Xenopus tropicalis: one gene and its partner. The protein of the gene in region 1 interacts with the protein of each later gene in a pairwise test. Links are inferred from orthologs where the notes say so. Each region holds a gene or a part of one and is shown on either strand. Other genes may lie near its edges.

Evidence for each region.
Region 2: the proteins of sdcbp (region 1) and drap1 interact in binary tests that used the Homo sapiens proteins (3 or more experiments, as listed by UniProt). The two-hybrid records come from large-scale screens. The link is inferred for Xenopus tropicalis from reciprocal best matches to the Homo sapiens genes SDCBP and DRAP1.

What each region holds. Positions count from the first base shown.
Region 1 is NC_030682.2:116,370,243-116,374,647, reverse strand, and holds the start of sdcbp (syntenin-1), read right to left. Parts: upstream 2,861-4,405; 5' UTR 2,758-2,860; intron 1-2,757. UniProt on the Homo sapiens protein: Multifunctional adapter protein involved in diverse array of functions including trafficking of transmembrane proteins, neuro and immunomodulation, exosome biogenesis, and tumorigenesis.
Region 2 is NC_030680.2:38,508,886-38,512,537, reverse strand, and holds part of drap1 (dr1-associated corepressor), read right to left. Parts: intron 2,985-3,652; coding exon 2,865-2,984; intron 1-2,864. UniProt on the Homo sapiens protein: The association of the DR1/DRAP1 heterodimer with TBP results in a functional repression of both activated and basal transcription of class II genes.

The DNA.
Region 1 (4,405 bases):
CAGCCACAACCCCCCCAGCACCAGCCACAACCCCCCAGCACCAGCCACAACCCCCCAGCACCAGCCACAACCCCCCCAACCCCAGCACCAGCCCCAGCCCCAGCCCCAGCGATGCGTCCTAGCGACGTCGCGTGCGCGCCGACGTCACATGCGCGCCGACGTCACGTGCGCACGGGCGCAACCCGGATGTAATTGGATAAAAACTGCAGGAGGCGCGCATACCGGTATAGCGGTATGTTCAAAAATCATATCGTTTTTTTTTCAAAAACCGGTATACCGGTTAAACCGGTATACCGCCCAGCACTACTTAGGTTTACAAAGCGGTCTGCAAATCTTTATCAGCAGTTTTCAAAATTTAAAGGAGAAGGAAAGGCTAGTAAAGAGTTAATCTCAAGCTGCAGGCATACCTTCAGTTGTCTCAATAATGCCCTTAAGTCTCCCCACATTTCTCCTGTTCAGATGATCAGAAGCCAAACAGGAAGAAAAAACCCTAAGCTGTGTAAAGAAAGTTCCCATAATGCCTCACTCCTGCACAGACACCGAGACCACTGAACATGCTCAGTTAGTAAGACTATGAGTCAGCTTCCTGCTGATTGGCTCAGATCCACATTCCTAAGGGGGGTTGTGAGTTCTTAACATTCTTGAGGGAGGGGGGAGAAGGAGAGAGCAGAGAGCTGAAAGCTGCGTGTCTCTGGCACAGGAATTACAGACACAACTAATCTTTTTTCAGAGAAGTCAGTGCAGTGTTTCTGTGAGTACTTATGGCTGTATTTACATAGACCTTTCTGATAAAGCTTACTTAGTTTTTACTTCTCCTTTAAGACTGTCCCCGTAGATAAAGAGCAGTGACTGGGGGGTGAACCTGAAGGCCAAGGTGGGATTTAGGGAAAATGCCTAAATCTTCTCCTAGATCAGTGCTGTGCAACATTTTCTTGGAAAAGTATGGCCACGACCATAATGTGACTAAATGACTAGCGTGTCCCTATAAGATGACGCCTGGGACAGCTAAACTAAGCTGTGTCCAACACAGCTGCTGTATGGTAAATGTCCTGTGTCTACAACAGAGATAGATTCAAGTTCTGGTGGCTCATAAAATAATAATAATAAAAACAGAGTAAGTAAATTTAGAGTTGTTAATGGCTAGATTTAATTATATGCGTCACCTGTAATTAGCACTGACCAGTTGATTATATGTGCTGATTATGAGAGACACAAGTAAATATAAATGTCGATTTACATTTTCGCCGGTGGGATGGCATTTCGGGGAGATTAGTCGCCCGAGACACAGGAGATTTGTTGCGGGCGACTAATCTCCCTGTGTGCCAGAGCCCTTAGAATCCGAACCAAACCACTGAAAAAAGCTACAGATGCAGAATGTGGCCTTCAGATGGACATATACATACACAAACCTGCATTCACAGATATATAGTGCCACATAATGTTTCCCCTACACACACCCCCAACCAAATGATCACGTGACCAGAAGCATGCACCCACAATACTGATCCTGACTCACATTAAATAAAGTGTGCTAACCAACGACGTTCAGCAGGCAGGAAACCCAGCCTGCAAATTACCAGTTTGTAAATTCCACTGATGTAGGTGCTTATTAATAGAAATAGTACTTTTGGCATGGCCACATTCATGTAATTCTTTAGGCTGCCACCTTACACGGTCAACGGTAAAAATGTCACAGAAAAAAGTCACTTTAACTTGTGATCTTCCTCCATTAGAGGTGTCTGTAGCACCTTCCCTAAACTCATCTACACAACTGTGCCCAAGGTCTCTCACACTTCCTCCTGTCTCTCACCTTATTTAAAGACGATGTTAGTGAAACCAAAGGCCTAAAACACATTTTTTTAACCCTACATTAATGTCTATACCAGATAATCTGGTGTTTAAGAATGCCGTTCGGTCACATGACATGGCTTAGTCCTCCCAAATCCCTTCTGGGTATTGGGGACTCAAAATAGGCAAATGGCTCAGCGGAAACAAGATTTTAAAGGAATCCAAATCACCTCACTTGACCTCTGGCCAATGCCATGGCACCTATTGCTCTATGGATGGTCCCACCATTAGAAATAGCCACACAGGAGAGCGCTGGGCAAGCGTATGTAAGAAATAGAATGGCAAAGTTAGTGAATAAAGAGGCCAAAGTGAGTGAGACAGAAAAGGTGGATTTGTATTACTTAGTCATATCAACCAACTACCCTCCTGTGTTTCTCAAAAAATGTCTATATCTTCTATTCCCCCTTTATGGCAGCTTTTAAGACCCTCAAATGAACATGGGGCCCCAATAAATACGCCCTTTATGCCCCAACTGGAGCTGGTCCCCTAATGGGGCGTAATCACTGGCATAACCAGACATCATTGGGCCCACAGGAAAATTGATATTGGGGACCCCCTAAAATTAAATAAGAATAAGCCCTTCACAAACATTCAGTGAAAGTGTTTATGAGCGGCCCACCCGGCCTCAGGAGTCGCACCCCCCCCCCCCCCCCCCCCTTCCTTAATAGTTCCACCCACGGCCCGTACTACCGCCCAATGAGCTGCCGGGGGGCTCCGGCTCCAGTCACACCTGGGGGACACTGAATGGGCACACCTGCCTGGGAAGCACAACAGCGATGGGGGGGGGGGGGAGAACAAAACTGAGTTGTATGGACCTAAGGGAGGATAATAACCACCCTCTGCCTTGCTGCTGGTGGGACAGCCCAAAATAATGTTTCTGTGAAGAGAAGCTGTAAGGGGGACACTTACCTGCCGGCAGGAGAATAACTCGAAGTGGAAGCCCTTCCCGTTAGTTGCTAACTAGTCCTCCCCACAGCTGCCTTCTCCCGACCCGTCTCTTCACAGCACTGACGTCACGGCACGGAGATGGCGCTGACGGAAGACAAAGGCAGTCGCACACTCGGGCAGAGCAGGGGAGAGCACAGGGAGGAGGGGTGGGCGGGGCTAAGGCGGGAGCAGGAAGGAGGGGTGGGCGGGGTTCAAGGCGGGTGACGTCATTTTCCGAAAAGTCGGCCCCGTGACTGTTGCCAAGGGTAACGGGAAGTTGAAGACTCCGGGGTGGGGTGTTGCTATTTTAATATTCCCATTTCCTCCATTCTTGTTTTCATGAGTTAAACACAGAGAACACAGTCATTTGTTAGGAGCTATCCCCTACCTAGCCGGGAAAAAGTGCGACCCCGCCCCCCCAAGATTGTAAAGGGAAATTTATTGTGCCGGGCCCGGCCCCTTTTTCTTCTGGGTTTTTATTGATATGTAATTTGTATGTTTTATACCATTCTGCTATACAGCACTGCAGAGTGTGTTGGCTCTTTGTAAATGTTTATAGTAAAGGGGGAATGAATGTCCATCACTAGGGTTGCAGGCTGGCTAGTAAAAAATATATAATTAATAGGGAAAACAAAAAAATATAGAAAAGCTGGTGTTTTCCCAGAAAAAGTGGGAGCCCTACCCCTCACACGCATTCTAATAATAACAGGACTGACACAGGGCTGATGTGCCTCCCACACTAACCAACATGCAGTGCAGCTTCTCTCTGTCCCAGCTCCTATACCTAGCCCCTATATACAAGCCTGGGGCCCATAACAAATTTACTGGCAACATACTTGTCTGTAAATTTATGATAACTATTCCATCCACCCCAGGCCTGCCTCCCATCAGCCCTTGCAGCTTCCAAAGAGACTAGCTCTACTTACAAAATGGCCTTCCAGTTCAGCCTGACTACCCTCTTGCGCCATAACCCTTTCCCTTTATGTCACATCCCACTCCTTTGTGCCCACCCTGCTCTCTCATAGCTCCGCTCCTGCCATTAAAATAACTCTTCAAAGGTGGCAAAGCTATCATGGATAAGGGTTGCTACCTTTTTCTGTGGCTAGTACTAGCATTTGGGTTGGTGGGCGGGAAGTGACATTTGAGGGTGTTGCAAGGGTCAGGGAAATGGGCAGACTGGGCAGGGGAAAGGTGCATGGAGCCAGTAAAGGTGGTCATACACATGCAGATTGTAGATGCCGATATCGGTCCCTTGGAAATCGGCCAGATATTGATCGGGCAGGTTAAAAAATTCAGTTGGATCAGGGACCGCATCGGCTCGTTGATGCGGTCTGCGAACGGATAGTGCCTAATACAGACGTTATAATTCGAACTAGTCAAAATTCCCCCGATATCGCCCACCCATAGGTGGGGATATCGGGAGAAGATCCGCTCGCATGGCAACCTTGAGCGGATCTTTATGTGTATGGCCACCTTAAGGGTGAAGACACACAGAGCTACTAGTAGCTAAAAATAGACTATAGACTAAAATAGACTAAAATAGACTATGCTTATCATTTACGGCTGTGACACACAGGGAGATTAGTCACCGTGCCACAAATCTTCCTTGTCGTGGGCGACTAATCTCCCC
Region 2 (3,652 bases), on another chromosome or scaffold:
ACATTCGCACAAAAAAGGCAATAACCCAAACCTTCATATATAAATGGCAAACATCCCACCTAAAATACCTGGGGATACACATCACCCCCAAGTATGAAGATCTCTATAGGGCAAATTACATACCATTACTTAAAAAAATCACACAGGACCTTAAGGAATGGGATAATTACCCATTATCCTGGTTCGGCCGTATAGCCTCTATTAAAATGAACATTCTGCCTAAACTGTTGTACCTTTTTGAGACTCTGCCTGTCACAGTTCCCGGAGCGGGTTTGAAAAACATCCAGAGGGACACTCTGAGATTTGTCTGGGGGTCTGCGAAGGGCAGAGTCTCAAGATCAATTCTACTCACAAGCAGACAACAGGGAGGACTAGCTGTGCCAGACATCTCCAAATATTACGATGCAGCCCAATTAAGACAAACTCTACCATGGATCCAGCCAACACCTCCCACAAGGTGGGCGCAAATAGAAGCCTCATACACCTACCCCTACCACATTAGCTGTCTCTTATTTGTAGAAAAAGGTAAAACCCTACTACCAGATACTGCACCTGCCCCAATAAAATTCACGGCCATGACCTGGAACAGATGCAAAAAGAAATATAAAATATTGGGGCTACACTCCCTTCTCACCCCCATATTGGGAAACCCTGAATTCTCACCAGGGCTCCTCTGGAATCATAAAACAACCTGGGCACCAATCAATATGACTAAGATCCATAACTTTATGGACCCAAGAAATCAAACTTTACCCCTATGAAAGACTCAAAGAGAAGTACAAATGGGCCAAAGACAAGTTCATGGAATATCTGCAAATCCAACACTTTATAAACTCTAAACTGGGCACAATCGCAATTAACCCCTTGACCCCATATGAAAAAATCTTGAGCTCCCCATTCCCCTATAAGGGCTTAATATCTCACCTCTACAAACTGATGGTAACATTACCTGAGGACCCCTTCCCCAAACATAGCTACATGCGGTATTGGGAAGAGGCCCTCGGGATAGAACTGTCTGACCATACCTGGTCAAAAATTTGGGACAATGCTAATCACATAGTCACCTGCACACAGCAGAAAGAAAGCGTTTACAAGGTAATGATGAGATGGTACATGACACCAGATAGGCTATCAAAAATTTATCCAAACAGCCTCCCACATTGTTGGAGGGGATGCACAGCTAGAGGAACCTTAAGCCACATACTATGGCAATGCCCCTTGGTAACAAGCTACTGGAAAGAGGTAGGCGACCTCATCACCTCAGTACTTGCAATACCACTAGATATTCAACCACCTCATCTTCTACTGGGACAACCCATAGCGAGACTCAAACGCCCAGTTCAAAAACTTGTAAACCACATCACAACAGCTGCACGATTAGCGCTCACCTCCAAGTGGAAATCACACAATATCCCCAACATATCCGAGGTCATAACAAGGGTGGAGAGCAATAAACGATTTGAAACGATGACCGCCTCTATAACTAATAATGTGCAATTGAATGATAACATATGGTTGCCTTGGGAAGCCTACTTAGCATCAAACCCACGGGAAAATCCAGAAATTCACACAAGCACAAACAATATGTCAGATGGAAACTAAAAACCACACCTTAATAAAGATAGGGGTTGCAGAACCACAAGACACACAAGGTAACAGGATCTGGACCAGAGCATGCACTGTTTTATTAGGTTTACAACTGTTGAACTTATGCTATTTTCATTTATGTATTAAAAGTAAAGCACAACATACTAACTATCAAGATGTCCTAATCAGCAATGTTTTATATGTATTATGTATTTCACATGATAATTTTTCAAATAAAAAATTTGAGTTACAAAAAAAAAAAAAAGAATGTGTGACATATGCAGAATTAGCTTTTATGTTATTTGGTATATAATATTCTTACAGGAAATATTAGTTACTTATTCTACTATATCTGGAATAGACATGCTGGAGGGTGCTGCACCACTATTTGCATGAAACTAAGGCATAATATCATTTATAATCCCTTAGGGTAAAGACACACAGGGCTACTAGTAGCAGCTACTTGTCACGGCAACAAAAATAGACAATGCTGATCATTTACTGATAATTGGCTCTACATGTGTCTTAGCAGAGGCAATTCTCAGTATTGTCTATGGCAGGGTATTTTCTGGCATTTAGGGTGAGCGACTAATCTCCCTGCAATGCCATCCCACCAGCAACAATGTAAATCGCCAGTGGGATGACATACGATTGATACGATTTCCCAAAGTTTTCGGTCAGATGACACTGTGGGAAGATTAGTCGTCGGTGGTAGCAAAGATTTGTCGCGGGGCAACTAATCTCCCCGTGTGCCACTGCCCTTAGGCAGTAGCTGCTACTAGTAGCTCTGTGTGTCTTTACCCTTAAAATGCTTGATAGCATATAACGTATGTCCACTACAGTCTCATCCTTAAATCAGTAGCATATAAACATCAATATTTTATTTCTTGCATATCAGGGATAAATCAAGGAGTACCCAGCCCCTTATCTTTTTCTCACAGAAAACAATATAAAAATCCATGAGGTGGAACACTGGATGGATGGCTGCTAACAAGTACCCCTCTGTGATACACAACAGGCTTAGCTGTAGTGCCTCCTGACTCCCTACTATCCATCCTTTCTCTTGTACTCTTAAAAGTGTAGTTATGGTCTCAGGTACAGGTGGGTAAAAACCAAAAGACTACATAACTACCACTACCATATGTTTACAGTGAATACTACTTGCACCACTGAGGCTATGCTTTTATGAACTGGAAAGAGCAACTCCAATGAAATGACCAGAAAGTTATGTATTCACATGTGGTGCACTTTACTGGGCTTACTCTGCAGTAGCTCACCTCCGTGACACCCTCTCTCCTTCAGTATGATTGTCTTCAGCATCACCCTGCATGTCTGGAACAGTAGCTACAAGATCCTTTAGGAAGTCAAACTGTTGCTCAAGCTCGATACACTGCTTTCTGGAAAAGAGAAAAAGGCAAAATGTTTTTTATCAAAACATACAATATTATTATGGTATCCAGAAAAAAAACTTTCTTTACATCAAACAACAACAATAAATCCTATTAGTTTCGATCATATTGGATCATTACAATATGTAGGGGAGAGGTAGATAGCATTTGTAATATATGAAGTTTAAGGGAGAAGAAAAGGCATTTTGGCTAGTGATCAGCGAACCTGTCCCATTTCACAGTGGCTACTGCACAACTTTTTTGAGGCACATGACTTTTATGATGCAACCGCAACTTTTTCCTCACTTGAGTGAACTTTTGTTAGTGACAAATGTTTGTGCCAGTTTTGTGAAAGTCACCACTGGCGAAATGCAAAATTGTGCAATCAATGTCTGGCAAAAATTTTTACTCATCACTAATTTTGGCATTTTATTGCCGATTGTTAAGGCACAATAGTGCAAGCTAGAAAGCTATATTTATTCTATAGAAAGCTTTGCCATACCTGATTAAACAGCCCTAGAAGCTCCCACTGATTGTATAAGATAGCAGCTGCCATTTTAGCTTGGTCTCAGTAGCTTCTGTGCTGCAGCTCAGATTACAGCACAGTTGGGAGGGGGAGAAGGGAGGGGGAGAGAGGAGCAAACCAAGCAGACTTTTGTCATGCCCTGAAGGATTTC